Linked DNA regions of Diceros bicornis minor. The protein of the gene in region 1 interacts with the protein of each later gene in a pairwise test. Links are inferred from orthologs where the notes say so. Each region holds a gene or a part of one and is shown on either strand. Other genes may lie near its edges. The genes, in order: RUFY1, UTP25, RAB3IP and RAB39B.

The links.
Region 2: the proteins of RUFY1 (region 1) and UTP25 interact in binary tests that used the Homo sapiens proteins (3 or more experiments, as listed by UniProt). The link is inferred for Diceros bicornis minor from reciprocal best matches to the Homo sapiens genes RUFY1 and UTP25.
Region 3: the proteins of RUFY1 (region 1) and RAB3IP interact in binary tests that used the Homo sapiens proteins (3 or more experiments, as listed by UniProt). The two-hybrid records come from large-scale screens. The link is inferred for Diceros bicornis minor from reciprocal best matches to the Homo sapiens genes RUFY1 and RAB3IP.
Region 4: the proteins of RUFY1 (region 1) and RAB39B interact in binary tests that used the Homo sapiens proteins (3 or more experiments, as listed by UniProt). The two-hybrid records come from large-scale screens. The link is inferred for Diceros bicornis minor from reciprocal best matches to the Homo sapiens genes RUFY1 and RAB39B.

The regions. Positions count from the first base shown.
Region 1 is NC_080740.1:92,537,008-92,544,293, forward strand, and holds the start of RUFY1 (RUN and FYVE domain-containing protein 1), read left to right. Parts: upstream 1-4,262; coding exon 4,263-4,548; intron 4,549-7,286. UniProt on the Homo sapiens protein: Activating adapter involved in cargo sorting from early/recycling endosomes. Regulates retrieval of proteins from endosomes to the trans-Golgi network through interaction with the dynein-dynactin complex.
Region 2 is NC_080743.1:75,865,625-75,873,841, forward strand, and holds the start of UTP25 (U3 small nucleolar RNA-associated protein 25 homolog), read left to right. Parts: upstream 1-5,204; 5' UTR 5,205-5,288; coding exon 5,289-5,395; intron 5,396-5,434; exon of another isoform or gene 5,435-5,649; coding exon of another isoform or gene 5,650-5,693; intron 5,694-6,216; coding exon 6,217-6,256; intron 6,257-6,975; coding exon 6,976-7,219; intron 7,220-8,217. UniProt on the Homo sapiens protein: Component of the ribosomal small subunit processome for the biogenesis of ribosomes, functions in pre-ribosomal RNA (pre-rRNA) processing. Essential for embryonic development in part through the regulation of p53 pathway.
Region 3 is NC_080756.1:1,617,979-1,625,983, reverse strand, and holds the start of RAB3IP (rab-3A-interacting protein), read left to right. Parts: upstream 1-4,949; 5' UTR 4,950-5,026; intron 5,027-5,333; exon of another isoform or gene 5,334-5,354; intron 5,355-8,005. UniProt on the Homo sapiens protein: Guanine nucleotide exchange factor (GEF) which may activate RAB8A and RAB8B. Promotes the exchange of GDP to GTP, converting inactive GDP-bound Rab proteins into their active GTP-bound form.
Region 4 is NC_080781.1:138,747,610-138,755,082, forward strand, and holds the start of RAB39B (ras-related protein Rab-39B), read left to right. Parts: upstream 1-4,265; 5' UTR 4,266-4,443; coding exon 4,444-4,658; intron 4,659-7,473. UniProt on the Homo sapiens protein: The small GTPases Rab are key regulators of intracellular membrane trafficking, from the formation of transport vesicles to their fusion with membranes.

The DNA.
Region 1 (7,286 bases):
GCACCAGGGCACCAGCGATGTCCAGATAGTGAGGATCTCCTAGATTATAAAATGCCAACCAAAGTATAAAATGTGTACATGTAAGATAAAATTAGTTCAGCCCCAGGTGCTCTCAGCTGGTGGGCCAACTCACACCACCAATGAAGCCCTGAGGATCCCTCTCTGGATACTGCCTGTGGCTCAGGCATGTCACTGAACCCAGGGTACTGCATTACTCAGTTTCTAGCTCACACCAGGGAGAAAATGGGCACTCTGACACTGCAGCATGTGGACAAGACAACTCCTCCTGCAATGGGGAAGCCACGGGAGATCTGCAAGCAGGAAGGTGAAAGCACCAGCCCCGGGTCTTGGGAAGTCCTCGGGCTGAGGTGTCTAGAACAGAACAGAGGAAGTAAAGCCCTGACACACAAAGAGACCTCCTAGAAAGTGACTACAAACCAGGTGAGAATCCGTGCGGGCAGTGGCACTGGGTATAGAAGGGCAGGGCCATATTGGAGAGATAGGGTCCAAGAAACGTGGTGAGAATCCTCCAAAAGACTAGAAAGAAAAGTGAGACAGATGGGCAACAGACAGAGGGCAGAATCACCCTCAGGAGGCAGCAGGCAGCTGAAACCCAAGGCATAAGAAACAGGTCCTGAGTAGAGAGGAGGAAAAGGACTGGGGGACAAACCACACAGAAGGCATCCGTAAAAAAAGTCTGGGGTGGGAGGGAGGATTGGGCCACATGTTTGGAGGGGAGGGGCTTTTTAATTATTATAGAACGTTTCAAGCATGTGAAAATTACAAAAAATAACATAACAAATATGTTAAGGTACTTGAAATAATCACACACACTCTGTTCACCAAAACCCCTCTTACCAAGTTTTCTCCAGAGTTGATCTCATATAAAGTAAAAATTGAAAGAACTTAGAATTGCCACATTTGTTGCTGGGAGAATTAAGATAAATATGTGCAAACTCAATTGCCTACCCTATCAGGAATACATGTTTTATTTTATTTTATTACTTTTTTTAAGAACGGTTATATAGGTCTCATAGACTTTTTCTTTTCTTTTCTTTTTTTTCACTGCGGAAGATTCGCCCTGAGCTAACACCTGTTGCTAATCTTCCTCTCTTTTTTTCTTTTTTCCCTCCCCAAAGCCCCAGTATATGGTTGTTAATTCTAGTTGTAAGTCCTTCTAGCTCTTCTATGAGAGCCGCAGCAACAGCATGACTACTAAGAGGCAAGTGGTGTGGTTCCACACCCGGGAACCGAATCCAGGCCACCGAAATGGAGCGTGCCGAACTTTAACCACTAGGCCATCAGGGCTGGCTCAGGAATACTTATTGTACAATGCCCTATTCACTATTCTGAAATGAAATTCACAGATTATAAACCTACCAACACTCAAAATTTCAAAAAATTAATATAATGTCCTAACTGTAATATAAAAGATAAATAAATCTATAGTACGTATTTCAATATGTAAATGGGGCACAACTGTCACCAACTAGGTGTCCCAAGGAACTCAAGGGTGGGTTTGAAAGCATTTAACTGTTTTTCCAAGTTGTTTTTTTCCCTTTTGTTATGTTAAGGAGGTGTAACCACCAACCACCCTGAACCAGACCAAGCCTCACCACAAGAGCTACACCCAGGACCTTTGCCTCATTTGTAATGCTAAGATCTCTCCAGAGGAGTTTAGGCCTTATCACCACCACCTGCAGTGTATGTGGAAGCACGTTTTCCTACTGAGCCTGCAAAAGCTAATACCCACCTCTCCCTTTTGAATATTCATTCCCACCCGAAACAAAGGTCCCTGCTTGCCTTTGTTCGGGGAGCCTTGACTTTGGAAATGACTCCTCATGGCTTCCTATTTGCTGCAAATACACTTTACTTTGTGAGACAACTTCCACTGGTATAGAGTCTCATTTAACTTGCCAGGAGGTGAGCCCACTTGGTTCAGTAACACAACTACCAGGCACTGTCGCAATGTCTTAAACACCAGAAGCAGCATTGCTGTGGGTGGTATGGTTTTCTGAAATGGTTAATAGCTCTTAGGTTCTGAACAATCAATTTAGTTGCATTCTGGGAAAATTCAGGGTTCACTTATGGTAGTCCTTATACTGCTCACCAGTATTCCCAGTTCTCCTTTTCCTAGACAGTTGTAAGATTGGACTTGCTACCTCTCTTGAAGCTAGAGGTGGCCTGTGACTTGCTTTGGCCAATGAAATGTGTATAAAAGCAAAGTTTGTCACTTCAGGGATAGGGCTTTTAGTGTTGATGCAAAACTCTGCTCCCAGTGATGGAACCTCCCACAGCCTGGGTCCCAGAGTGAAGCATGACCAGAAACAAACTTTTCTTATGTTAAGCCACTGAGATTTGGGGGTTACTGCAGCATAAGCCAGCCTGATACGATATTAAAACTATTCAAAAAAAAAAGAGTTAATGTTTTTATGCAACATGGAATTAGGTTCCAGGCTCATTATAAACAAGCTTTTCACCCACATGAACGCCCAGTGGCATTGGAAAGTCCTAAAGGATACTGGACAACTGTTTGTTATTCCAGGCCACCTAACGCCCCTGTCCACCCCACTCCAGTAAGACGAGTAGCAGCCCCTCAATCATTGTGACAACTCAAACACCATCCCCACAAACACCCCAGGCACTCCCCATCCCCTTCCCCCCAGAGAAAACAACTGAGATTACAAGAACTTGTGAAGAGGGTGGACTAAGATGCCAGGAGAACCTGGGCTTCTAAAGGGGCAGCCATCAGGGAAATATACTCTGAGTTGCCAAAGCTTCCGATATTTCAAGAGAAGGCCAAAATCCAGACTTTTATATGAAATCTTTTGATTTCTAAATATCAGCAACAACTTAATTTTTTTTAATTTAAACGCTCTGGGATTCAAACAAAACAGTTCTCCTAGTTTCACAAGGCCCAAGTGCAGCACTTTGCAAACCAAGTGTCACTGTCACAGACTAATTGCCCCGAGGAACTCAAGTGTGGGTTCAGAAGCATTCAACTGTTCAAGAGATGCAATCACCAGCCACCCCTGAACCAGACCTAGCCCCACCACAAGAGCTACGCCTGTGACTTTTGCCTCATTCCCGCCCCCCCAAAGCCCCAGTAGATAGTCCTGTCATAGCTGCACATCCTTCTAGTTGCTGTATGTGGGCCGCAGCAACAGCATGGCAGGACAAGCGATGCCTTGGTGCGTGCCTGGGGTCCGAACCCACGCCGCCAGCAGCGGAGCGCGCGCACCCAACCGCTAAGCCATAGGCCTGCCCCCTTTGCCTCATTTTTGATGCTAAGATCTCCTCTCAGGCGTATCACCATAACCTGTAGCATATGTGGAAGCATGTTTTCCCTCTGAGCCCAGACAGGCAAATGTCCCTCTCTCTTTTGAATGTTTATTCCCCATCCAAAATAAAAGGTCCCTGCTTTCCTGTGCTTAGGGAGAGCCGCGACTTGTGAAATGATTCCACGATGCCTATCTGCTGCAAACAAGTTCCACTTTGTGTGACAAGTACTTCTGGTCAAGAGTCTGATTTTAACTCATCAGGAGGCGAACCCACTTTTCGGTTTGGTAACAAAAAGTGAAATTTGAGTTTCTATTTGGGCCAAGTCCCTTCTTTTCCAAGCTAGGAAACAGATTATGAGTAATTCCCTACAAGCGGATGGTGTCTTGCCCATGCCGCATAGCTGGGTGACAGAGAGTCATCACAATCGCTGACGTCCGCCACGTGCTCTGACTGCAAAATCCTATTTTACACCCCGACCTTCTGATGCCCCATCCACCACAGTGTGCTCTTTCCTGCCAGGCCATCGCATTTCCTTATTTAATTAAGAAGAAAAATCCTTCTTTCCTGCCTCGCCTGTCCCAGACTTTCCTTGCCAGCCCTTTTAGGGCTTGTTCTGAAGACTGCTGCAGAAAAATGACGAAGTAGGAAAAGTAAATCAAGAAATGAAATTTAAAAAGAGGAAACAGTGTCACAAAGACGACTGCGGCCATAGGAGCTGTGTCCCAGGCCAAGCCGGTGGGCCACTGTAACGGGACAAAGCCCAAGAGTAACTTCATAGAAACAAGTCCTCCAGGCTGGTGGGAACGCGCGTGTATGATCTGTACTTTCCTGAACCTTTTCAAATTGAAAGGAAGGAAAGCAGCGCTGTGAACAGGAAAAAGAACGTTGCCAACGGGAAAAAAAAAGAGCGCCACGGAGCTAAAGCGCCCGCCCGCCCGCGCCCAGTCCGCCCCCGGCTGCAGCCACGTGACGGGGCCAAGATGGCCGACGGGGAAGACGGCTGCCCGGCGGGGCGGGAGCGGGTGCCGGAGCTGGGGCCGGGGCCGGGAGAAGAGTTCGAGATCGTGGACCGGAGCCAGCTGCCTGGACCGGCAGAGCTGCGGAGCGCGGCGAGGCCGCGGGCGGCGGCGGAGGGGTGGTCGGCGCCCATCCTGACCCTGGCGCGCAAGGCCACAGGCAACCTGTCGGCGAGCTGCGGCAGCGCGCTGCGTGCGGCCGCGGGACTGGGCGGTGCTGACGGCGGCGCGGACGGTGCGGCGCGCGCAGGTAGGCTCCGACCGGGCGCGCGCGTGTTCTGCACGCGACCGCGGCCGTTTCGCAGGGGGAGCCGGGCTGGCAGGGGCGTGAGCTGCCTCAGCCGGTTGGAGAAGCTGCTGGCCACCTTGTCAGCACGCCTGACCGCTCGTCCTTTTTCTCTATCCTGTGCTGCCAGGCCAAGATGCAAACGTGGGGGTGGCTGCCCTGAGATTGGGGCGACTCTCGTACCTTATCCCTCCCTTCTGTGTTTCCCAGACAACATCCTTATTCTTAGTGGCGGGCTGTAGACTAAGAAAATTTACGAGTTTAAGCTTAGGTAGTCTGTATTAATTTCAGAAGTACTTAAGAAATGAATCCAGTACTGGTCTCTGCTTTAATCTCACAATGCCAGTCCGGCTCACACCTCCGGGGGTTAACCGCGCATCCCGCCTCAGCGCGGGGTCAGAGCACCCAGGCGGAGGTCGGGAGGTGCGGGTTCCGGGCGAGCCTCACCACCAACTCGCTGTGTGGTGCAGACAAGTCGCCACATTTCCCAGCCTGTAAAATTTATAATCCTCTTCAGCCCTTGTCATCAAGAATAGAGTTTCAGCATATCTGTGAGAAGAATGGAAACATTAACTGGTATGATATTAAGAGCGTGGCCTAGAAAGCCTTATAAAGCCGAGTTGTGCTGACCAATATAGTAGCCACTACCCACGTGTGATGTTTAAATGTTAAATTAAAATTAAAGATTCCGTTCTATCTTCATAGAAAGCGCTGTGGGGCAGAGCTGACTAGACTATAGTACTCTCTCAGAAGCATTATCATGTGCCTTTGCGGTTTCTCGATTCCCTGCTATTCACTGGTGAATTTGCTATAGAAGTCATCACTCAGGCCAGAATAGTGGATTGTGAGAATTTCGGTGGTTAAGAAATATTAATGAGTAGAGAAAAGTTTAAAAACTGGCTTGTTTTGAGATTCTGGCAATAGAAAGTAGGACTAGAAGGTAATGAGGAAGCCTGTTCAACCCAGGAATCTAGTTCCTACCAGCTCCCCACCTTTGCACGTGTCAGTGGATGTTTCATGGTATACCCACCCCAAGGAGGTCAGTTCTGAGAGTCAAAGCATGGGATCTTCTGGAGGCCCACAGCAAGGAAATTATAAATGTTAGATGTTCACTGATAAATAAAATGTGCCAGTGCCTAGAACAGTGCCTAACAGAATAATAATTGTTGAACAAATGCACATTCGAAAAATACTTGTTTTCCATTTATAGTAGTGCTATAAATAATAGCCAGCACTGATATTGCACTTACTAGGTGCCAGGTATTAGTCTTAGGTCTGTACATACGCTGATTCACTTAATCCTCACAGTAACCTTAGATGACTGCAGGACTGGCTTCATGTTGTGCAGTTCACGCAGGCTATGATCAGTGTGGTCGCCCAGGGCCAGGCACTCAGAAGTGCCCCACTTTTGAAATTCTTATTATCTGTGAATTTGTTTTGCAAGTGAAGTCCTATGGAACAAAGGAGCATGTGTGGAGGCCTTGGAGCTCATGTGTGGTGCCACCTTCCGCTGCCTCCCTGGGACAAGCTCTCAGCAGCCCTGGCCCACTCAGACTGCCCTGGGGCTTCTTCCTACCCCTCGCTGACCCCACTCTGTGACTACTCCTGGCCGGGGGAGGATTGAGATCACACCCTCTGAATCTCAGGGCAGGGCAAGGTGTCCACTGTCTTGCCCCAGGCTGGCACTGCCACAGCACATTAGGCAGGTAACTGGGCAGAGGCCTCTCGCCCACCCAACCAGGTACTGACTACCTTCCTGCAAAAAGTTGCAGTCCCTTAGGACTGTGGGAAGAGGAGATTGACTTCCAAGCTGGCCCCATGTTATAGGCACCATTATTATCCCCGTTCCATAAAGAGGGAAACTGAATTAAAGAGAAGTAACTTGACCAAGTTACTTAGAAGTGGCCGAGCCAGGACTTGAACCAAGACAGTATTCGTCTTGAGCCCATGCCCTTAGTCACAACACTTCAAAGCCTTGATGTCTTTAAATAACTTTATAAGCAAAATGCCATAATATATACCATATGGATTTTTTAATTAGTCAATTTAAAGAAAATATTAAATAACTGCCACTCAGATCTGGCAAAACTTGTGAACATGGCTTACTAAGGGCTGAAATGTAGGGAACCGCTGGGATGAGCTGTGTGGCTAGTCCCTGAAGGTAACCAGAATTTGAAGCCAGCAGTGGGAGAGGAGTGGGGATGGGAGTGGGAAAGGCTCTGCAGAGGCCTCAGAAAAACATGTCGGGAGAAGGAGCAGCCACCACTTCAGCTGGGGCCAGGACAGGGCCGGCTCTCATCTCTTTTCACTGACCTGCTTACACAAGCAGTGAGGACGGAGATTTTTCAGAGGGAGCAGTGAGGGTGCAGAGATGGTATGTGAGCAGCGCTCTTGCCAGATAAAATGTGTTTGGTGATAGACGTTTAAGGAAAATGCTGTGGAATGTTGTGTAATACTTTGATACTCATTTTAAGATATTATCCTCTGTGGGGTCTGGTAGCATAGCATGCCACGGTGATTGGTTCTCTGTGGTTGTCTGGTTTGGTTTGTTGTTGGTTTTTTTTTTTTGGAAATAAATGCAGGTGGTAAAAAAAAAAAGAAATCAAACCAAACCAAAAGGACATTTAGTGTAGAGGAACTCCTCCTTCCCAGAACCTGTCCCTAGTCCTATAGTATCTGTCAGAGAGCGTCTGTGCACAGAG
Region 2 (8,217 bases), on another chromosome or scaffold:
TTTCATAAACTGAATTCACTGCAGTCTCTACTTAGGATGATTCTATCAGGAGAGACTTGAGATGCTAGTTTCAAGAAATGTTGAGGAGTGGAAGGGAGCATTTAGTAAAAGTATGAAAAAGTCTCCATTAGCATCAATAGCAAACTAACTGCTCAGAGGAGGCATCAGAAAGGAAGAATTAATAACCTTGTCACCCATACCAGACATCGTTGTGATTTCTCTCAAGTCCAAATCTGATCCCGTAACTCCCTTGCTTGAAATCTTCTAATGGCTCCTCACCTTATATGAGATCCGGCCTAACCTCCCCAGCGAGGCATGCAAGGACTTCCATGGACTGCCTCCTCACCTGCCTGCCTCTCCAACCTCTCGTCTCCCACCCGCCCATCCCAGCACATGGACCACTGTGCAGTTCTCCAAGCACATCTTTACTCCTTTGCTCCTGCTATTCTCTCTCCCTGGAAGGTTCTTTCCCTACTTGTTCAACCTTGACTCAGCACATCCTCTGTGCAGCTCCCCTCTCAGCAGAATGAGTTTCTTTATCCTCTGGGCTCCTAGAACCATCCTTCTAATACAGCTTCTAGCCCATGACAATGTAATTATTTGTTAATTGCTTTGTCTCTCCGACTAGACTATGAGATCTTCAAGGGAAAAGTCTGAGGTCTGAGCTTTTTAAATCCTTGATGCCTCACGTCATGCCTGGAACACAGTAACTGTTTGGTAAATGTTTGATAAGTTGAATGAATGTACGCCTGCTGAGCCTTTGTCAGGAAACATGAAAAATAGGGTGTAGTTATACTAATATTCCACGAGAGGGAGCATAGCATGTTAGGCTTGTTCTCAGATTAATATAATCTGATAAAATATTTCAGTTTTAGGCTAGACTCAACGTAAATCAGTCTTTGATAAACCCGAGGAAACATTTATTAAAGGTCACTATGAGCGAGGCTCTGGATTTGTCGATGAGTTCTTCTTATGGGTACAGATGAACAGAAAGGGTAGGAACTCCATAAAATGATATTTTACATTTCTGTGTTATGTAGAGTGTATTTCAGTGCGTTACAAAGTTTTTCTTTTCTCAGACATAATCTCCTTTTCTAAAATGTGCTCCACCTAGAAAGCTTATTGCTCCATACACAATAAATGCTGAGGAATCCGATGACTACACAGCTTTCTAATTTCCTGTTGTCCTATATCCCTCATATCCTGTCTTGAACACATACACATGCTGTTCTTGAAGTCAGCTGAAACAACGCATACAGCCTAAGATCTAGAATCTAGAGCAATTTTGAGTTCAATACTAATGTTCAATGAATGTGACTGATTGATAAATGCTCAACGGGGGATCCCCTCCTCCTCCCCCTAACCTCCCCCCCCTCGGCCCCAAAACGTGGTCCTCGCTGCTTCATTAGCATTCAGCATTTATCAGTTCAGCATTTATCACGGTGTATTGTAATCATCTGTGTACTCATCCACGCCTGGACAAGACTGCAGACTCCTTGAAGAGGCTGGCGTGGACCTTATTCTTTCTCCTAGCCTCAGCTGCTAGCATAGCACCGGGCACACCAGGTGTTTAGTAAATATTTTTTTGAATAAATAAATAAGCTTATTTCACGATAAGGGTAGTGAGAGACTGATTTCTGCCAGCACTCTTAGGGAGAGGCTGGATTGCTTCGGAATGTACATAGACGCATGTGTATACATGTGGAGGAGCTGGTCTCCTATGGAGGAAACTGTCTGATTTAAGGCCTCTAGGAGGAGACAGATGCGTGGGCGCACACACACCTTCCCCAGAATCTTTCCAAATCAGTAGCTGAGGTGATTGAACTTTCACCATTACAGAGTCATACCCTTGGATCACCTATGGCTCCCCGTCAACATATCTTGAATCCATGTGCCCTCGTTATCACATGTTATCCCATAAGTTCCAAAACTCAAACATCTCCAGTATGATCTGTATTCTCAAGGCGTGCTTGGACCCCTCTCTGTTGAGAATCTCAGCTAGACCTCTGCTTACTTTCTGTAGTTTGCATTAGAAAGTGGTTTGTTTGTCTTTTCAAATACAAAGCTATATATCAAATAAGCTTTTTCAAACCATATACACCATAATGTTTGCAAGGGATTAAAACACATCAATTTGTACAACTCTGTGAGTTCATAATCATACTAAAAATAAAAAACGAAGAGTTGATTAGTCACAATTGGAAGATCTAGTGAATTGATTGTATTGAAAATTAGTAAATGAAGGGAGAGAATCAAGTATTTATTCTGCTTTTCCTATACAAACTGTACCACTGGGTAACCAAAATTTAGATAAGGGAGAAGTTTGTCTTTATAGGAATAGTCCCTCAAGTAAGTGAAGAAGAAATGATGGAATTAGAATATCACCCCCTATGATAGAATTAGAATGCAACGTCTAATGAATTAACAAATTTAGACATTGAGCACCAATGGCTGGTACCATCACAAAATCAAAGACAACCAGACATCATACGCCTCCTGATGGAAGTATAAAATACCAACTGTAATCAAGTCTGATCAAAGTTCTAGATCCAACAACCTACTCACGAGAAATATAGAGAACAGCAGAACATGTTAAACCAACAAAGTACTAAAAAAAAAGACAACATTTATGAGACAATCAGAAACTTAAACACTGACTGGATATATGATAATATTAAATAATTATTGTCACTTGTTTTGGTGAAATATTGCCATAGTGGCTATGTTAAAGAAAGAACCCTTGGGGCTGGCCCCGAGAACACTTATCTTTTAAAAATGCATACTAAAATGTTTACAGATGAAATAATATAATGCCTGGGATTTGCTTCAAAAATAATGCAGAGGGGGTCAGAGGCAGTGGGTGGGCATATATATGAAACAAGATGGCCTTGTTGATAACTGTTGAGGCTGAGTAATGGGCACACGGGAGTGCATTATACCATTTTGTCTACTTTTGTATATACTTGAAATTTTCCAAAGGTTTTTTCTTTTAAATTATTAACACCTCCCTGAGTATTCTGATATTCTTGTCCTAAGGGACAGCCATCCCTCTTCTACCCCTTGAAATTATTATCCTAGGGAGTCTCCTGGGAATTGCGAATACCCTGGGAAAGGTAACTTAATTCATTAACATCTCTTTATGAACTAGTATAAAGGATTATTTCTTTATACTGCGTACCTGAGGGTAGAGGTAAAAGAAAACCTTGGAGAAGGGAAAAGGAAGGGCTGAGGGTGGGAAGAAGAAAGAAGAACAAATTTTGCCTTCATTATAATTTTCCCAGAGCCTTTACTAGTTGGCACTTACATCTTCTTTGCGAGGGCTTTACTAAGAGAACTTTCACTGGAGGCATGAAAAAATGTTTAAATTCTGGATTCTTAGGTTAAAATTTCAGAGTCCCCCTTCTTGTTGTCAATGGTAATATAAATATTTTCAGGAGAAGAGGGGCTGGCTCCCTTTCCATTGCTCAGTGAGCCAGTGATGAGACCACTTGGGTGGGGCGAGGGCACATTTTTGCCTGAACCTGGGAACAGTCTAGACCTGTCCATCCACATGACTACAAGGATGTGGAAACCAGGAGAGAGTAAGGAGTCACCTCAAGTGCTCAAGAGTGTAGCTTTTTATAGAAGCTCTCTGGAAGAACACCAAGAAACTGGTTGCCTCTGGGGAAGGAAGCTGGGGAAGTTGGCATAGGGTGGGAGGAGAAAAAAAGAGTTTGACTCTTTATCGTTATAGCCAGGTTATACTGTGGTTAGCGCCTTAAAATATATGATGACATTTTGCAAACAGCCTTTTGTTGACATAAGTGACTGTACATTCTATCTTCAAATTAGAAGACAGATGTCTGTTTGTTTATGGGTTCCTTGGCTGGGCCAGCTGCTGGCACCACCTGCTGTTTGCATATTTTCTTGACACTCCCTCTACCTGCCCTCCCTACCCCACCCCAGCCCCCCAGAATCTAATGAGGAGTAGATGGCCACTAGAACTGACAAGAATAGAATCCTAGTAGTTCTAATACAGCTTCTACAAGTGAGACATGGGCAAAGCTCAACTTTTCCCACAGAAGCACTCCGAATAGCAGAGCCAAGTGAACACTGTCTTTGATGGCTCCTGTGGAAACATTCAGGTGAAATTTGCGGTCTATGATATAGCACTATGTTTTAGTCAAGGATTTGTTTTTATAGAACATGACATGATAAGTTACTGGTAGGAAAGAAGAATCTCGCTGTGTTTATCCAGTGGTCTCAAGTAGCCCTGCTCACTCTGCCTGCCCCTGGAGTACTGAGTCCAGTTTTGTTTTGCTGTGTTGTCCTCTTTGTTTATTGAGGTTATTATTTACATACATTAGAATTTACCAATTTTAAACGGACAGTTTGATGCCTTTCGTAATTGTATACAAGGCGTAACCACCACCACCACGATCAAGATATAGAATGGTTACTCCGCCTTAAAAAGTTTTCCCGTCCCCCCTTTGCCCGAGTTCAGTTTTGAGACACTTGATTGAGTTTTACGGCTTTCTCTAACATCGACTCTCTGGATGATTGTAGGAAAGTCGCTTTACCTCTCTCGATGTGTTTTTGCTCTTGTAACATGAAGAATGTAGGCACAGATGTGTTTCTAGGGGCTCTTCCAACACTTTCAGGAGATGAGGGGGTGGGACGAGGGTGGGAATCTCAGCCTGGCGTCCCCATTCTTGATCTAGCATACGTATGTGGCAGACCCTGGTGGGTGAAAGCCTGTGGTGGATCAGACAGACTTAGGTTTCCATCTTCTCTCTTGCTCGTGTGTCATCTTTTCTAAGCATCAGTTTCCTCATCTGCAATATCAGGCTTATTAACAAGACCTATTTGTGCACCGTTGTGAGGATGAAGTGAGGGGTGGGGGCACCCTTAAACATTGGTTGGTCTTTTTATTATGGTATAATATAAAGTCACTGCATCCAACCATCTCCTCTAATACACGTTTACGCAGGCTGAGTCCCATAACCAAAACAGAAGCACAAACCACGCTCACCTATCCACACATCCGGCAGCCCAGCCTGACTGACGTTCCATGACTCAGAACAAATGCGCATGCGTGCGTTTGCTTCCAAAGAGCCTCGCTAGGGGGCAGAATCGGAATCAGGAAGTTTTAACGCCTGTCGTACAAGCGCGACGTAAAGCTGGTCTGCTTTATGGCAACCTGCTTCCGCCGTAAAGCGCCGTCGGTGAGCCCACGTGAGTGGATTGACAGGACAGCTTCCTGGTGGGAAGCGCGGTGTTTGACGGTGGGCGAACTTGACGTTTTCGCTATGGGCAAACGCGGGAGCCGGAGCCAGAGCCAGCTGCTCAACACCCTGACTAAAAAGCAGAAGAAGCATCTTCGGGATTTCGGCGAGGAGCATCCCTTCTATGACAAGTATGGAGGCGCATAGCTGGGGCCAGCGCTGCCAGCGTCTTTTCCCAGTGGGATCCGGCGTTTCCGGTTTTGGCCCGCCGGTCTCCCATGGGACAGTGACGGGGCTGCTCCCGTCTCTTCCCACGCTTCCCTGGCGCCCGCCGTGCTCGGCGTGGAGCCTGGCGGGTGCTCGGCTGGGGAGGATTCTGGCGGCATCCCGCCTGGAGACGGGGTTCTTCTCGGGTCTTCTTACCTTTTGTTGAGCCCCCGACTTTATGCTAGACGACACGCCCACTGTGTGGGGGCTGGGTTTTCTATGGTGAGAGGTTTTCTAAGATTGTTTTTGTTTTTTGTGTTTTTAAAGAATTGCTGGGTACCCTCGACATCACCGATCTGTCCAATTACAATGAGCAAACTGATGTGTCGGTAGTTGTGGGTTCCTCTGTAAGTGTCCAGACTCTCGGTTGTAATCTTAGTGCTCGTCTCAGCACTTTAGGCCGCTTTATCAGCAGTTAGCGGGACACTCTAATTAAGAAATTTGTCAGAAAAGGTGAACCCTGAGAGCTTTTGTTTGTCGGATTTATCTATCTATTGGATAAGAGCCAGTTATTGTGTGACTCGTACTTGTCATGTGACCTCGTTAAACTTTTCATTTGTCAATTAACTATTTGTCATATTCTTAGAATCCCTGTTCAAGTGCATATGTAGTTTTTACATGACTATAGTTAGAATGTATTTATAATGGTATATTCCGCCTTTTTCACTTAAAGTTGTGTCATTAGACTTTTTCCTAATTGCTACATACTTGTAGATAAAGTTTAACATTACCTGTTTCTTCTCAGGGTTTCCAGAAAAGAAGCAAAACCACAGATTTGTCAACTGGTAATGCTTTATATCTTCTTTATAATAGTCGGTTCTGGGTTGTTACTTTTAAGGTTATATATAATAAGAAAGTTTAGCGACATTTCCACTCTTTCTGATTTTAGACGTAAGCTATTATTTTAGTAATATTGCTTAGCTTTGAATGCAGATGTCTGTTAAAATGCCCTTGTGATAACTAATACAGTAACCAGAGTTTGAAACTGTCTTGAGGGATAAGCTTGTTAGAACCTGCTAAGGAGGCTTACCAGAGGGCTCTTGGTGAATCCTAACAGGGAATATCTTGTTTGCTTAACATAAAAGGAGCCGCAAATAGAGTGCAAAATGAACAAAGGTCCTGTCCCATTACAACAAACTCAAAACAATGACATTCCTTTGTTGTATTGTCATTTTCCCATTGCTGCTTTAAACGTACCAAATGTCTGACACAGGGGTTAAATCTCCTTATAACCTAAAGCTCTACGTTTTTAGTCAGCTTTCTTCCCATGTGGAACATTAGCAGTTCAAAGAAAATGAAGAGCTTCTAGAATCATAGCTAGATTAGCTATTTTAAATAAATTTGGTGCTGGGCTTGGTTGAATAGATAGGATTGCATATTTGCAGAAAAGCTCATTTTTATTTAGGAAAGTCTGAACCTCTTACGCTGTTGGTCTGATGATAGTCATAGGGTAGCAAGGAGAATAATATAGTTTTTGTTTTTAAAATTTGCATTTTCCTTTTAGTCAGAGAGTTCAGATACTTCAAGTTCTGAAAGTGAAGCAGAAAGTGAAGCAGAACAAGTTTCTGGGTACCACAAACTACTCGCCACATTAAAGAATGTTTCTGAGGAAGATGAGGAGGACGAGGAGGAGGAAGAAGAAGAAGAAGACAGTGTTGTAGATGAGGCAGAAATGGAAGATGAAGATGGAGATAGTGATGTCAGTGTGGAAGAAGAGACAGCAGCAGAGTCTCCTGACATGCAGGAGAGTAAGTGTGTTTGGTGTGGGTTCATCATCTTTGCCTGAACCTTAGATTGCCCCATGAGTCCAGTATCCTGTACCGTGTGAGTTGAGTGAAAGCACGTGGATCCAAGCAGAGGCTCTTTTATTTATTTATTTATTTTTAAGTTTTTTTTTTTTATTTGTGAGGAAGATCAGCCCTGAGCTGACATCCATGCTAATCCTCCTCTTTTTGCTGAGGAAGACTGGCTCTGAGCTAACATCTATTGCCAATCCTCCTCCTTTTTTTTTTCCCCAAAGCCCCAGTAGATAGTTGTATGTCATAGTTGCACATCCTGCTAGTTGCTGTATGTGGGAAGCGGCCTCAGCATGGCCGGAGAAGCGGTGCGTCGGTGCCCGCCCGGGATCCGAACCCGGGCCGCCAGTAGCGGAGCGTGCGCTCTTAACCGTTAAGCCACGGGGCTGGCCCTAAGCAGAGATTCTTAACTTTGTTGTTGGGTTCAATGATATCTTTGAGAATGGGACGAAAAGACGGGACCCTCTTGCCACACAAATGTAGAAATAACATTTTTGCCTATCATTTCCAGGACTTCATCAATTCTAGTTAAAGTTCCGCTAATTGGGAGGAAAGAGAACATAATTTTGTTTCTGTGACGATCTCAATTTATTAAAGAGATTACTGTTCCTCCTTTAGAGAAACAAAGTTTAATGGAAGATAGACATAAAATATACAAAAATTTTCAAGCAGCAGATTTGTATTGAACAGCGAGGTATAAGGTGTTGAAGAGATGCCCAGTGGTCACACACTGCTGGGCTAAATGAGGGAAGGCTCCAGAGGTTGGGATTGGAAGCTTAAAGGAGCTCTATCTCACACTTCTAGGTGACGTTTTTCTTTAACTTTAAAATCTACTTTATTGAGGTACGATTTACATACAATAAAGTGTACCCATTTTAAATGTGCAGTTCGATGAGTTTTGACAAATGTATACATCTATGTTATATCAAGATACAGAACATTTCCAATAC
Region 3 (8,005 bases), on another chromosome or scaffold:
GTTTTTAAAGCTTGGAATTATCATTGACACCTTCCTCACCATTATTTCTGTCTATTCAGTTGCTACTGGCAGCAAACCCAACACAAACTGGCTTAAGCAAAGGGAAAACTCTGGCTCATGTAACTAAAAAGTTCAGAGTCTCCAACTTCAGTCACAGCTTGATCCAGGAAATCCAGTAATGTCAGCAGGACTCACACTTGGTTTTCTTATCTCTCAGATCTGCCTTCTCCCTGTTAGGTGGCAAGATGGCTACCAGCAGCTTCAGGGTCACATTCAAATTTCTCAAGAATCCTCATAAAGATTCACTTTTCCCAGCGATTTCCCAAAAGACCCAGAATTGCTTCTTATTGGCTCTGCTTGAATCATTTGCTTATCACAAGCCAACCACAGAGACCAGGAGGATTCTCTGGATGGTTATGCCTGGGTCACAGGCTCACCCCTGAAGCAGGAGGAATTCAGTTCCACTTGAATCATACTGACTGAACATGGTGGGAGGGCAGGTCCCCGAATAAAATCACTGTGGTGATCTCAAGAAGGTATAAGGGATGCAAAGAATAAAAAAAAAAAAGAGGGAGAGAGAGAGGACACGGAATCAGCTGTTGCCTGCCACATACCCACCCTTGGAGACGTTTCCCCTGCCCTGTTTCATTGTGGTAAAGGCACTCCTGTCTCGTGCGAGCCTCCTGTCTGACTCCTTCCCTCTGGTCAGCCCCTCCAGTGGGCACTGCCACCACGTCCCTCCTCCTCAAGCACTGTCACAGTCATTTCACTCTCCAGCTCAAAGTCTTCTGGGGGTTCACCTCTGACGACCAGATCCCACAGCCTCCCTCTGGCGTCTATGATCTTCCAGTCTGCTCCCACTCTCTTCCCTGGCTTCTCTGTCTGCCTGCGCTCACTCATTCCACGTGCCCACTGCTCTGCATCGCTCACCATCACTGAGCGCCTCGAGTGTTTCCTTACAAGCCTTTGCTTGGTTTCTATGTTCTACCCCATCACCACTTCCCTCTTCCTGGGTCTAATCTCGTGGTGACCAGGGACTGCCCGTTGTCTCCAGTATCTGTTCTTCCCTTCTTCTTTGGTTTCAGAACCATTGACTTTTAGCTGGGCCTACGGCCACACAGTCGAGACTACGTGTTTCAACATCGCTTATAGTTAAGTCCTGACTAACAAGGTGAAAGTGTAGGATGTAGACAACTTCTGCAGTGTCCTCACAAAGAGTGGTGTGTTCTTTTCTGCCCCCACCTCCTTTCTGCTGGCTGGAACAAGGACGTGGTGCTGGAGCTTCAGCAGCCATCACGGACCATAAAGCAGAAGCTGCATGTTTAGGACGGTGAAGCCACATGATAGAAGGAGGCTGAGTCCGTGTTGATAAGAGAGCCACCATACCGACCCTGGACTGCCCGCACTTACCTGAGAGGAACAAGTTTTATTTTACGTAAGCTACTGTTATTTTGAGTTTTTAACTGCTACAGGAACCAATCCCTCCATGAAAATACATTGTTCAGGATAATTTTCTGGTGGTCAGTAGCAGGAATCCATTCAAAATCGAAGCAAAGTGGGGGAATTATTTTAAGGATTCAAGGATTTCTCACAGAACCTCTGGGCAGGGATGAAGGAAGCCTCAGGAATAGACTGGAACCTGGGACTGAAACACTGCGGGGAAGCCAGAAGGCCCTCCCATTGTGTCTCATCTCTCCTCTCTTCCCTCTTACCGCTGATTATTTATGGACCTGGCACAGAGAAGCAGTGAATAAGTCTCTGTTTAATGGACGGCAACGGGTGCATCTGTGAGGTTTGCTGGGTCAGCAGCCAATTACCCAAACATTTCCTTATACATACGTAGCTTGTTCCAGGGACTCTTCTGAAGGGAACTGTACTTTTTAGAGTCCATGCTCTTCTGTTAACCCTTTCTCTCAACCCTCCGATTTTTTCAGGTGCTTATTCCAACATCGGAAAAACGGCCTGAAATGCAGCATTGTCCAAATGGATCTAATGAAAGACAGAGACAGCTCTGCTTTTATACAGGAGTTGCAGAGGCCAATTTTTATGGGAATACAAGCACTGGCCCACAAATAACTGTTTTGCTAGAGAGGGAAATGATAGATTATTTTTGGTACATGTTTCCCTATAACCAGCTTTTAAATTTTTTTTTTTTTTTTGCATTTTGCATTGTTATTATTTACTGTCTGGGTTTCTGCTTTTATGTAGTTTTTGCCCTTGAGGGTTTCTTTTGTTCTTGTCAGCTTATTAACATGTTTGATAAGATATTTGATATATTTTTTCCAGCACTTTGAGCTTTTGGTGGGAGAATCAGCCAGTCTCTAGTCAGCCACACCGCTGGGCAGGGAAGTCCAGTATGCTTTTTAAAGAGTTTTAACTCCATTTGTGTGTAAGGTATTACCCTACATTCTGAAGACCAGGGATCTGTGGTCCACAGTCCCCATCTGTAAAGACGAAGACTAACTACCTTTCCACCTGTGTCAAATTGGTTTTTGTAAAGGACTCATGAGGTAACTAATGTGAAGTCAGTTTGAAACTGGAAAGTACCATGTAAACATACAACATTTTCTGCACTTTGAAAACAAAACAGAGGAAAACAAGCAATTAAAGTTATAACTAAGGACAACAACCTTAGAAAGATTCGTTCAACTTTAAATTTCTAGATATTTGCACTCATCTCCTTTGTTTTCTGGCCCCAGGTATGGATGGGAAAGTTTTAAGATTTTTTAAAAATAGAATATTATTCTATATGTTGTATTTGACATTAATTATACAATTTATTTTTTAATTAAAGAGAAAGAATGCAAACGAGCACACTACAAAATCTGTCATCACGTTTTTAAAGTTTGTTAAGTGTCCATCCCTTTAACACACGGGAGAGCAATCTGATGTAGGATGCTCACAACACTTGATACATTTCACAGGCTGAGGTGCTGACATTCTGTGAGGTATCTTGGTCTCCGTGATGCAAGGACACTGGAGTGTTATCATAGGAAACTACTCACACAGCTCTTTTCATCCTCAACCTCTGCCAGCAGGTTAAGTATGTGAGAGGAAACACCACTGAGTTCATTCCAAAGAGCCTGGTTGGTGGCAGGTGATTGCAAACAGACCAGCATGGGACTCAGGCATATGGCTACTGCTTACTCTTTCCTATAGATGCAGGACGTCTTAGGTCCTATGTGGAACATGTCATAGGGCCTGTCCTCTCAACATTTATAGACCAAGACAGTGCATCTGCATATATGTCGTCCACTCAACTGCATGTACTTGAGACAGTCCTACTATACGTCAGATCTTGAGCCTAGTCTCAAGAAGCTCATAGTAACTAGGAATATAGAAAAACTACAATTACTTTTCTATGTGACAAGTGCTAGAAGGAGATAAGGCGCTATGGGAGCACAGGTAAGGGCACCTAACCCATATTGGGTGGGGTAGGGCTGGGTGGCAGCAACAGGGAAGGGTTCACAGTGGCGGTGATGCCTGAGCTGATACTGAAGCATAAGGAGGAATCAGCTAGGAAATGAAAAGGTGGAGAGTCAGGAGGTGACAAGAAAACCAGCAGCATACCTAAAGATGGGATGGATGAGGGAGGATGGCAAGACCAGAGAACCCAAGTAGTTTGCTGCATGTTGAGTTTACCCACTCCACTGGTTATTGACGTGCCTGTCTCCCTACATTTGAGTGCTTGTGGTGTAGATCATGTGTAATGGTTTCTCTGTCCCCAGACCCAGCAGTAGGCACGTTGATGGGGCGCAGTGAATGTCTGATGGATGAATGGCATCATCATGACATGATGTGAATGACAGGGTGGAAGAGAGAAACACTGGGAGTCCATCAATGAGGAAGGTCCTGTCTAGTGGCAGTGAATACCAGATGGGATAGATTCAAGAACTATTTGGGAATTAGAATGGATATGACTTGTGATATTGGAGATGGAGTATAAAAGTAAACAATGACTTTGCAGGTTTCTCTTTGGATTATAGGTGGATGACAACAGTAACACTGTTATTAATAATAATAGCTAATATTCATTAGGCACTCTGTCATGCAGTACACTGTTTCACGTGCATTAAACCATTTAATCTCTCACTGACACAACCAGGTAGGTACTCTTACCATCCCTCTTTACTGATGAGGAAATTGGGACAATTAGAGATCAGTCACCCAGAGTCACACAGCTAGTAGGCAGCAGATTCAGCCCCAGGAATTCTGACTCCTACAGCCGCACATGCCACCTACTCTGCTTTATTGCCTCTAGCAGACGTGATCAAGATACACATGATGGTCCTGTTCAATGGGTATCACAAATTGCACGTCTCTCTTTTACTGAACATAGACACACCCTGCGATCGCCTCTTTTTGATGAGATTTTGGGAGCTTGGTTCTCTGTATTCTCACTTTTCCTCCCTGGAGGACCTAGAATGGGGTGGAAGTTTGACAAGAGTTGACACACAAGATGAGAGAAGGCAGGTACAGAAATGACGTTCTCGAATGTGCTAGCAGCCGCTGGAATGTTGGGGTCTGGGTTCTATTCGATTCCCCACCCCCGACGGACGCGAGTCTCAGTTGGTTCTATCAGTCCTCAACTCACATCGAACGTTCCCGTCCCGACTCCGGACGAGCCCCCCACGCTCGGAGCGAACCGAGGCCGCCCGCGCCGGCGAACCAGCTGCGCGCCGGCTCCGGGGCCCCCGCCCGCGCACCTGCGCCCCGCCGCGCCCGCCAAGAACCCGCCGGGCGCCAGGGGGCGCCGGAGCGCGCGGTCCCCTCGGGCCCCGCCCCTCGCCCCTCGCCTTCCGTCCGCCGGGACGGGCGCTCGCGCGCTTGGCCCCGCCCCGCCCCGCAGGCCCCCGCGGCCCCGCCCGGCCCCGGCGCAGGCGCAGTCCGGGCCGCGGCCCCCGCGCAGCGCGCCCGGCGGGCGGGGTGGAGCGGCGTGCCCGCGTCCTCCCGCCCTCTCGCGGCCCCGGGCGCGGCGGCGGCTCTGCGGGCGCTTGAGCGGGCGGCGGCCGCCGGCCTTGGTGAGGTGAGCCGGCGGCGGGAGGGCGGGAGGGCGGCCGGCGGCTCGCGGCGCGGCCGAGGCGGGCCCGGGACCTGCGCGGGCGTGGGGGTCTGAGTTCCCGCTCGGGCCGGGGCCTGCGGCCGCCGCGGGCTCGGGGCGCGTCCAGCCGGCGGGCTCCGGAGTCGGGACGCGCCGCGCGGCGGACGCGGTCATAGCCCGGCGGCCCCGCCCGGGCCGGACGCCGCAGGTGCGGCGGCAGGTGCGGCGGGGGCGGGGGCGGGGCCGGGGCCGCCGTCCCGGAGCCGGGCGCCCCGTGGTCTCCCGGAGCGATTACATAAGTGCCGAGAGGCCGGTAAGAGGATTAAAACAAAACTGCTCTGCTGGAAATCTGCCGAGACCCGCTGTGTGTTCTCTATCCTCGTTCTTATTTTGTTGTACGTGCAGTTTTTTGGAAAAGAAAAGGTGAACGACAAATGGAGGAGAAAAGAGGCGGAATGGATCTGTAGACCCATCGTAGTCAATATTTGATACTGTTAAATATTCCACCGGTTTTTATGGGGCCTTGTTCTGGTAAATTTGTTATTTATTTACCAGTACTGTGCGTTTTGATAGGACTTTTCGTGTTCCGACAGACATTGTATCATCCCAGATACGGTTTATGCGATCTAGTCCTAAAGCCCTTGTGGAATTTATAGAAATGAACAGCAGTTACACAGTGTTACTACAATGGTGCATGTCTTACTATTAGAAGAAAAGCCTTTTAATTTTTTTCTTTTTCCACTACAGTCAAGTTATGTATTAGTGCACACCCTTGTGAACCAAAGTGGATACATTTAATGGAACTCTTCCTTGTGTGTTTGGCACGCAACTCATCTGTGGCATCGAATGCCTCTAACCTGTCCAGGATGGATGTTTGATGTTCAGCTGCCTGGGGGTTTCTGATTAGTGGGGTTTCTAATTAGATCCAGGTGTACCTTTTGAATTAGTGTAGTTATGCATATACTTCCTTTAATATTTTTTTCTCTAATTTTTCCTAAACCCTCATCCCCCAACACACACAGACGTTCCACAAATAATTCTTAAAGTTGAAAGATTCTTAGAAATCTAGGTCCCCATCACTTTTCAATCTGGCAGAACAAGAGCTTGCAGGTACAGTAGTTTTACATGTATTATGGTGGTTACTTCTTGAGCAGCACTCATTGAACCAATTAGTTTAAGCTGGCCAAGTGGCCTGGGGGTTTCATTCATTGAGCATCTTCTCTGCAAGTCACGGTGGGGGTTAAAGGAGAGTGTTCCCAAGGGGTCTGGGAGGTGGGCCACATAATCATGCCCATGTCTTCTGTAAGTTCTTCAAGATTTAGAAGGCACTTTTCACATGTACATGTATGTATAGTAGTACTTTTAGTGAGTGCCGACTAAGCCAGTGCTGGAATGGTTGGGAGTGCGGAGGAAGGCCGAGCAGCGGTTAAGACATTTGTGTGATGAGGGAAAGCTCTGAGGATCTTCTTAGGGAGTATACTTGTTCCGACGAAACCTTTGTCCAGTATAGTTCTGTTTAAGACACAGTTCAACAAAGGGTAGTAAATTGGTTACTAAGTTAATTATTTAAATACACTTGATTTCCTAAAAGTAAAATATTTGAGCTTTTGAAAACTCTCTTCTAGCTCGTTTCTCCTTTTCTGTACTGCTGTCCTTATCTGTGCCAGGTACATTTTTTTTCCTTTAATGCTTCCAAAGCACCAAGTACCTGCCTCTGTTTTGGTGCTCATTGGTTTTGATATTTACAGTGTAGTTGTAAATGTGTGTTGACAAGGAGGTCCCTTCCTCCAGTGTACTTGTGCTCTGAGGGCAGGGTTCAAGTCCTCACCTGGGGTCAGAGGCTTAGTGTTGGGCCTGGAACCTGGGAGGTGCTGTGTTTGGGGATACAGGGTCAGTGGAAGAATGTTGGGGTGTGTTGGAATTGATCCAGCAGTAGAAATGGGAATGAGTGCTCAGAGTGAGAATTGAAGGGACTGAGGGGGAGAGGGATACCTAGAGAAGGTAGCGTTGATTGCTAGCTCTGTTTTTCCCTTCTTTCTCTTTCAGCTTACAACTACATGAGGTCGTTGCATAAGCTTAAGTTGTATGTATTCAGCGTTAGGGAAAAATGAGAAAGTAATCTTGATTTATCTTAGGGTATCAGCAGCACTAGATTAAATAGCTTTAGCCGTAAGCTAAGATTACTTAGATCAGAGGAAAAAGAATGAAAATTATTGAAATAGTTCAAATTTATGAGAGATTTGTTGCTTGTCGTTAACAACAGGGTTGTAAATGTGAGCATCATGGAAGTTGATGAAATTCTACATAAAGGATATGAAATGACAGTCTAGTACTGTAAGGGAACTTGGTTCGAGAGAGAGGGGCCTAGAAGCATCAAGGAGCGTGCAGATGATAGCTTAGAACAAATTAAATGAGTGAATTGTAATTTGGTGTGTCTAGAGAAGAGTAATGGTATTGAGTATTTGTCTTGTGGCACCTGTTGACAGAAAGGGATTACACTGAAAGAACAACCAGAGCGAGTCTGGAAACAGTAAGTAAGTGTTTTAATTAATTTCCTGTTGGGAAGAGCATTATGTTTGAACTCAGAGAAGTGGGTGACGTGCCCAAGTTCACACAGCCGGCAGTGACTGAGCCAGAGGGAAGGCTCTGAGGCTGGTTGGGTGAGATGCTCAGGTCTCCCCAGACTTGAATGACTGTTTTTCCAATCTTGGTGCTCCCTCAGGGTGCTTACTGTTTTCTCTCTTTTTTTCAACAAAGGCAGCTGGACTCACTCTCTCCGCTCTTCACTGCTTTGCTGCTCATTCCCTCTAAAGCCTCTCATTGCTTGTTTCTTTACCCAGTCGCTGTGCGCCTCATTGCCCACTGAACGCTCAGGTGACACACGTTCTTGCCTGTACAAGACAAGGAGGCTTCCACTGTTCAGAAAAAGAAACCAGCCAAACTATTGTTTTATATTTCTGTCCC
Region 4 (7,473 bases), on another chromosome or scaffold:
CAAGCAGATGTCAGATCTACCAGAAAAGGATTTCAAAGTAGTCATTACAAATATGTTCACAGAACTAAAGGAAAGCATGGTTAAAGAAGTAAAAATAGATATGATGACAATGTCACATCAAATATAGATTATCAATAAAGAGAAAGGAATTATTTTTTTTACAAAAGAACCAAAGGGAAATTCTGGAGTTTAAAAGTGCAACTGAAATAAATAATTTACTACAGGTGCTCAATAGTAGATTTCAACTGGAAAAAGCAACAATTAGTGAATTTGAAGATAGTTCAATAGAGATTAGGCAAGCTGAAAATCAGAGAGAAAAAGAATGAAGAAAAGTGAACAGAACCTCAGAGAAATGTGGGACACCATCAAGTGCATCAACATAGGCATAATGAGAGTACCAGAAGGAGAGGAAAGAGAGAAAAGACTAGAAAAAATGTCCAAAGAAATAATGTCAGAAAACTTCCTAAATTTATTGAAAAACAATAACCTATACATCCAGGAAACTCAATGAACTGCAAGTAGGATAAACATAAAGAGATTCACAAACAGACACATCACAGTAAAAATGCTGAAAGTCAAAGAGAAAATCTTGAATGCAACAAGAAAAAAATGACTCATCACTTAAAAGGGAACACCAATAAGATTAATAGCCAACTTCTCAAAATAAATAATGCAGTGGGATAACATAGTCAGAGTGATGAAAAAAAAAACTGTCAACCAAGAATCATATATCCAGCAAGGCTATCTTTCAAAAAATGAAAGCAAATAAAGACATTCCAAAGTAAGCAAATAAGAACTGAGTGAATTTGTTGCTAGCAGACCCACCTTACAAGAAATACTGAAGCAAGTTCTTCAAACTGAAAGCAAGTGACCTCAGATGGCAGTTCAAACACACACACACACACACACACACACACACAAAACAGAGAGCACTCGTAAAGGTAATTATGTAATTATAAAAGACTGCATAAATGTATACTTCTCTCCTCTTTTTCCTTAACTGATTTAAAAAACAATTGTATAAAATAATATGTATATGGTGTACAGTTGGGTCTATAACATATAGGAATGTTATGTATTTGCCAAAAGCAGCACATAAGAGGTGGATGGGAGTCAAGCTATATTGCTAAGGAAATGACTACAGATGGTAAAGCAATAATTATAACAATGTATTGTTGGTTTTATAAAATTAATGGACATTACAAAATTAAAATAGGTCTAACAATAATATCACTAAACGTGAGAGAAGGAATAGAGCTATATAGAAGTATGTTTCTATATATCATATATTATATATACATATATATTCCATATATGTGGAATTAATCTGGTATACACCTGAAGGTGATTCTGATAAGATGTATTTGGTAAACTCTAGAGCAACTATTTAAAAAATAGGTAAAAAATATAGTGAAAAAATCATTAAAGAGATTAAAATGCTACGTTAGAAAATATTCACTTAATGCAAAAAAAGTCATAAAGAAGGAATAGAGGAACAAAAAATAAGATATATAAAAAAGGAAAAAGTAAAATGGCAGATGTAAATCCAACCTTATAAATGATAACAATAATAACAATTCAATAAAAGAGCACAGATTGTGAGATTGGATAAAAAAATGATACAACTATAAGCTGTCTACAGGCAACACACTTAAGATTCCATAATACACATTGATTGAAAGTAAAAATTTGGAAAAAGTTATATCATGAAAACAGCAACCACAAGAAAGCTGAAGTGGCTATACTAATATCAGACAAAATAGACTTCAAAACAAAAGAAAGTTACTAGAGATAAAGAGGGACATTTCATAATGATAAAAGGGTCAATCCATCATGAAGATACAGCATTTACAAACATATATGCATCTAACAACAGAGCTCCAAAATATATGGGGCAAAAGTTGATAGAATTGAAATGAGGAGTAGTTCTACAATAATAGTTGAAGACTTTATACTCCACTTCCAATAATGGATAGGAGAACTATACAGAAGATCAACAAGGAAAGTTAAGACCTGGGCAACACTAAAAACCAACTACACCTAACACATATATATAGAATACTCTACCCAACAACAGAATATACATTTTTGTCAAGTGCACATGGAGCATTCTCCAGAAAAGATCATATGTTATGCCATAAAAGGAACCTCAAGAAATTTAAAAGGATACTAACAATGCAAAGCATGTTCTCTGATCACATGGAATGAAATTAGAAATCAATGGCATGAAAAAAATGTGGGAAACTCACAAATATATAGAAATTAAACAAAACACTCCTAAATAACAGATGGATCAAAGAAGAAATCAAAAGAGAAATCATAAAATACTTTGAGATTAATGAAAATGAAGATATAAGATACCAAAACTTATGGGGTGCAGATAAAGCAGTGCTCAGAGGGAAATTTAAAGCTGTAAATGCCTATATTAAAAAAAAGAAAGGAAGATCTCAAATCAATAACCTAAGCTTACACCTTAAAAATCTGGAAAAAGATGAGCAAACTAAAAGTAAATCAAGCAGAAGGAGGAAAATAATAAAGATTAGAGCAGAGATAAATGAAATGGAAAGTAAATAAAAAATAGAATCAATGAAACCAAAAATTGGTTCTTTGAAAAGATCAACAAAATTGACAAACCTTTAGCTAGATTTACCAAGGAAAAAAAAGAGAAAAGACTCAAATTACTAGAATCAGAAATGAAAGAGGGGGCATTACTACTGACTTTAGAAAATCAAAAAGGATTATAAACGAATACTATGAATAATTGTATGCCAACAAATTGGATAACTTAGATGAAATGGAGAAATTGCTACCAAGATACAAACTACTGAAACTGACTTAAGAAGAAATAGACAATCTGAATAGACCTATAACAAGTGAAGAGATTGGATTAGTAATCAAAACACTACTTATGGTAAGTGAAAGAAGGCAGTTACAAAAGTCCACATATTGTATGATTCCATTTTTATGAAATGTCTAGAACAGGGAAATCTATAGAGACAGAAAGGAGATTATTGTTGCGTAGGTCTCGAGGTTGAGGGGAAAAGAGGCATGACTATAAATGGATACAGGATTTCTTTTTGGGGTGATGAAAATGTTCTAAAAGTGATTGTGGTGATGGTTGCACAACTCTGCGACTATACTAAAAACCATTGAATCGTACACTTTAAATGAGCGAACTGTATGGTATGTGAATTATATATCAATAAAGCTGTTTTAAAAATAATTGAATAAGGCAATGATAAAGGATTACATATAAAAAAAATACAAAGGATTTGAAGAGGCAATTCCCAGAAGAGGAAATGCAAATGGTCAATGCAATGAGACACCTTTTTATTTAACTACATCAGATTGGCAAGAATTAAGAATATGATATATGATGCTTGGAATAATGGAAAGAAATGGTCTTTTCCCACATTGCTGACTAGAATTTAAATTGCTAAATATTTTTTCAAAGTATAGTGCCCGTATGTTTTACATTTAAAATACGCATACTCTTTGATTATCTGGTCCCTCCTGTAAGACTTTATCTCATAGAAATAATGTGTGACTATACTTAGAATCTTTATTGTAGCATTGTTATGGCAAAAGGAAAATGAGTTGGAAATGCAGAGATGTCTATGATTCTTTAACTGCAAAAAGCAAGTGTCAGAGTAATGGTCCAATCTGATCCAATTTTTGTAAAATCAAACAGCAATAAATGTGTATAAATACACGTGGAAGAAAATATACCAAGCTATTAATACCTTGGGGAGGGAGGGGGGCATATAATTATGGAGTTTCCTTTTTATGTACATTTTTATATTGTTTCACTAGTTTTAAAGAAAAGGTATTACTTTTTGTTTTTTTTGCTGAGGAAGATTGTCCCTGAGCTAACATCTGTGCCCATCCTCCTCTATTTTGGTATATGGGATCCTGCCACAGCATGGCATAAGCGGTGCAGGTCCGCGCCTGGTTCAGGGCCTGCGAACCCCGGGCCGCTGAAGCGGAGCGCCGGGACTTAACCACTATGCCACCTGCCGGGCCCCCTTACTGTGGCAATTTGAAAGATAAAGAAAATTTGTAATTAAGAAGAGGGGTTGGGTGGAGGAATTAGAAATAAAGGGAACAGAGCTGTTTTCGTGGCCGTTTTTGTGTGCGCTCCTCTTAGAGACAGTGCGGCGGACCCTGGCGTAGCGTCTACTCGGGCGATTACAGTAACCTGGTTGTCAGTGATGAGTCAGAGTGCGCGGTGCTGATGCTGCTGCCATTTCATCACCCCTGCGAGCACAGCATCCATCCCTCCGTTCTCCCTGCGCCTGGGCCTACCTCGCCTCGGGCTCCCAGGCCAGCGATGCGCTCGCGGCCGATCTAGATCCGGATCGAGCTGCGCTCTCCGAGTCCTCGGCGGAGCGGCCCCTCTCGCCGCCCACGGCCCAGGCCAAGGAGACCTGCCGAGCCCCGGCCATGGAGGCCATTTGGCTGTACCAGTTCCGGCTCATTGTCATCGGGGATTCCACGGTGGGCAAGTCCTGTCTGATCCGCCGCTTCACCGAGGGCCGCTTTGCCCAGGTTTCGGACCCCACCGTCGGGGTGGATTTTTTCTCCCGTCTGGTGGAGATCGAGCCAGGAAAACGCATCAAGCTCCAGATCTGGGATACCGCGGGTCAAGAGAGGTTCAGGTGGGAGCGCAGTCCGGGCCCGCGAGCAGTGGGAGGGTCTTCAGGGCTTGCACAGTCCCTGGGGAAAAAGGACTTCCTGGTCCTGGTCGCGGCCAGTAGGGACGATACCAAGGGTCTGGGGGTTTCTGCTCAAGCCCACCTTCAGCTAGCTGAAGTGCAGGGAAAGAAGCGCCCTGGCAGGGAAGGCCCGTCTATAGTACGTATTGCTTGCACCACTACTCCACCAACCTGCCCCTTGGTGGCTAATAAACTAGCTGGAATTGATTACTGTAATTCATCAATCTCAGTGCCTATGCTACATTCTTTTAAAAATGTTCCCGGGTCATCCTGACATAACTGTCACATATAGATAGATAGGCGATATAGAGATAGATACAGGTATAGATATATTATATCCATATGAAATAGATACTGATGATTGACTTCATCTTGCAACCAGCTCACATTCAGTGATCATCCGCTACGTGCAAGACACTGGGCTTGTTTCTGAGGAAAAAGCCTGAGGAAACTCACACAAGGGGATGCCATGTAAACAAAACAGACACAGGCCCTTCCCTCTTACAACTTCTCTGCTAGCATAGTAGGGGGAAATAGATAATGAGCAATTACACAAAGGAGTGTCTTGTTCATATTTGTATGCCCACTCCCTACTATAATGCTTAGCACATAATGAGTAATCAATGAACAGGTTTAATTTTCTCTTACAACGCTTTGCTTTTCCTTTGTAGTATGTATTGTTTGTAATTATATGTATGAACACAGAGGAGGGTAGGCTTCCTGGAGAAGATGAGGCCAGATGAGTATGACTACCCAAGAAAGACAGGAAAAGCCCAGAGAGAGGAAATACCATGTAGAAAGACAGAAGTGCGAGAGAGCAGTGTACACACAAAACTTTGAGAGAGCAATTTGGGTTAAAGTCATGTGGTGTAGCAAGAACTAGATCAAAATGACTCAGTAGCCCATATTTATGATCATTTATTTATTTATCTATTGAACACTAATTCAGCATAGAAGATACTGGTTAGGTAGTTGAAGAGGAGTAGGGAGAAGAGATAATTACAAACTTAAGTTGTCTCCAACTCCCTACCTTCACAAACAACACTTTGACAAATATCCTTGTACAGGTTCACTTTGAACTTGTCATTGCATTTCTCATATTATAAGTGAAGAAAGGTGTCTTTTACATGTTTATTGGAATTTCTGTATGAACAGCCTTTTCATATCCACTACTTATTTATTGGATGATATTCATTTGTAAGAGTTCTTTATAGATTAATAATATTAATTATTTTCTGTCATGTATGTTGTAAAATATTTTCCCAGTTTGTCATTTGTTTGTTAACTTTGTTTAAGAAACATTTTTAATGTAAAGAAGGTTTTAATTTTTATGTAGCCTTATGTTTTGCTTAGAAAGGGCTTGGTTGCTTTCTAAATACTCACAAACCATTAATGTAATAATGTATTTTAGAGTTCTGACAGGGGTCTACAGCTTGCTTATTGATTTCTTAAACCAAGCTGTTCATAAATCAAAAGCTCTGTTTGTTCATGTCAAATTTTCTGGTACACCTACCATTCTCCATGAATCTTCAAACATAAGGGAATTAGAAATGCTTTCAGTCTCCAGGGCTGATTTGCCTGGTCCTGGAGACTTGAACTCACTTGTAAGGTTTGCTGTTATCATCATGTAGCTTGGACTTTAATTCACTGGACAATGTTTTTTTTTTTTGTGAGGAAGATCAGCCCTGAGCTAACATCCATGCTAATCCTCCTCTTTTTGCTGAGGAAGACTGGCCCTGAGCTAACATCTATTGCCAATCCTCCTCCTTTTTTTTTCCCCCCCAAAGCCCCAGTAGATAGTTGTATGTCATAGCTGCACATCCTTCTAGTTGCTGTATGTGGGACACGGCCTCAGCATGGCCGGAGAAGCGGTTCGTCAGTGCACGCCTGGGATCCGAACCTGGGCCACCAGTAGCGGAGCGCGCACACTTAACCACTAAGCCACGGGGCCTGCCCTCCCTGGACAATGTTTGTTCTGTTATCATTTGGCTATTTGCCCTAAGTCTTAAGCTATTGAGTCCCTCATTGTTTATCTTCTTCATCCAAGGAGATCGAAAACCTAAAAATAGACATAGATCAAAAAGCACAGTCATCTAAAACAAGTGATTGTAGAAGCAAATAGTTGTACACCTTCTAATAAGCTCTAATACACTCTAAGCAAAGTACCATAATGTATATTGATAATGAAGCTCCTCAAATCAAGAAGTTAAAATATATGAGGTTTCTTCTGTTTAAGAAGTACAGCAAATGTATAATAGGATTTAGAAATATTCTAATTACAATCCTTTAAATAAATCATGTCATTTCAAAGGGAAACTTTGGGTATTTAGGCAGTTTTTGCCAGCTGGGGGCTCCTGAGTCAGCCTCTCTGAAATGTGTCAGGAAGTAGGGCTGACAGGCACTTTGCTCAAGGCCTTTGCAGATCATCCCTCTTTTTCCCATTCCCACATGGCCTGAAAAGTAAAAAAAATTGTGTTTCTCTTCACAGAAGAGATTGAGGACCCCTGTTGGATTATTAGAATAATAATAATAACAATAGAAAGACAAACATGGTAATGATAAGTGGAGTATATTGCAATATACCTATATATTTATAAGCATTTTCTGTCAATGATCATAAATTCATTTTTATTTTTTAAAAAATCCTGTTTCAACTACTAGAATTTGTGATGAGCTCTCCTGGTCACAGAACACTATAATATCTATTATTTCATTTTGCCTCATGATAACCTGGGACTTAGGTATCCCATTTTGCAGA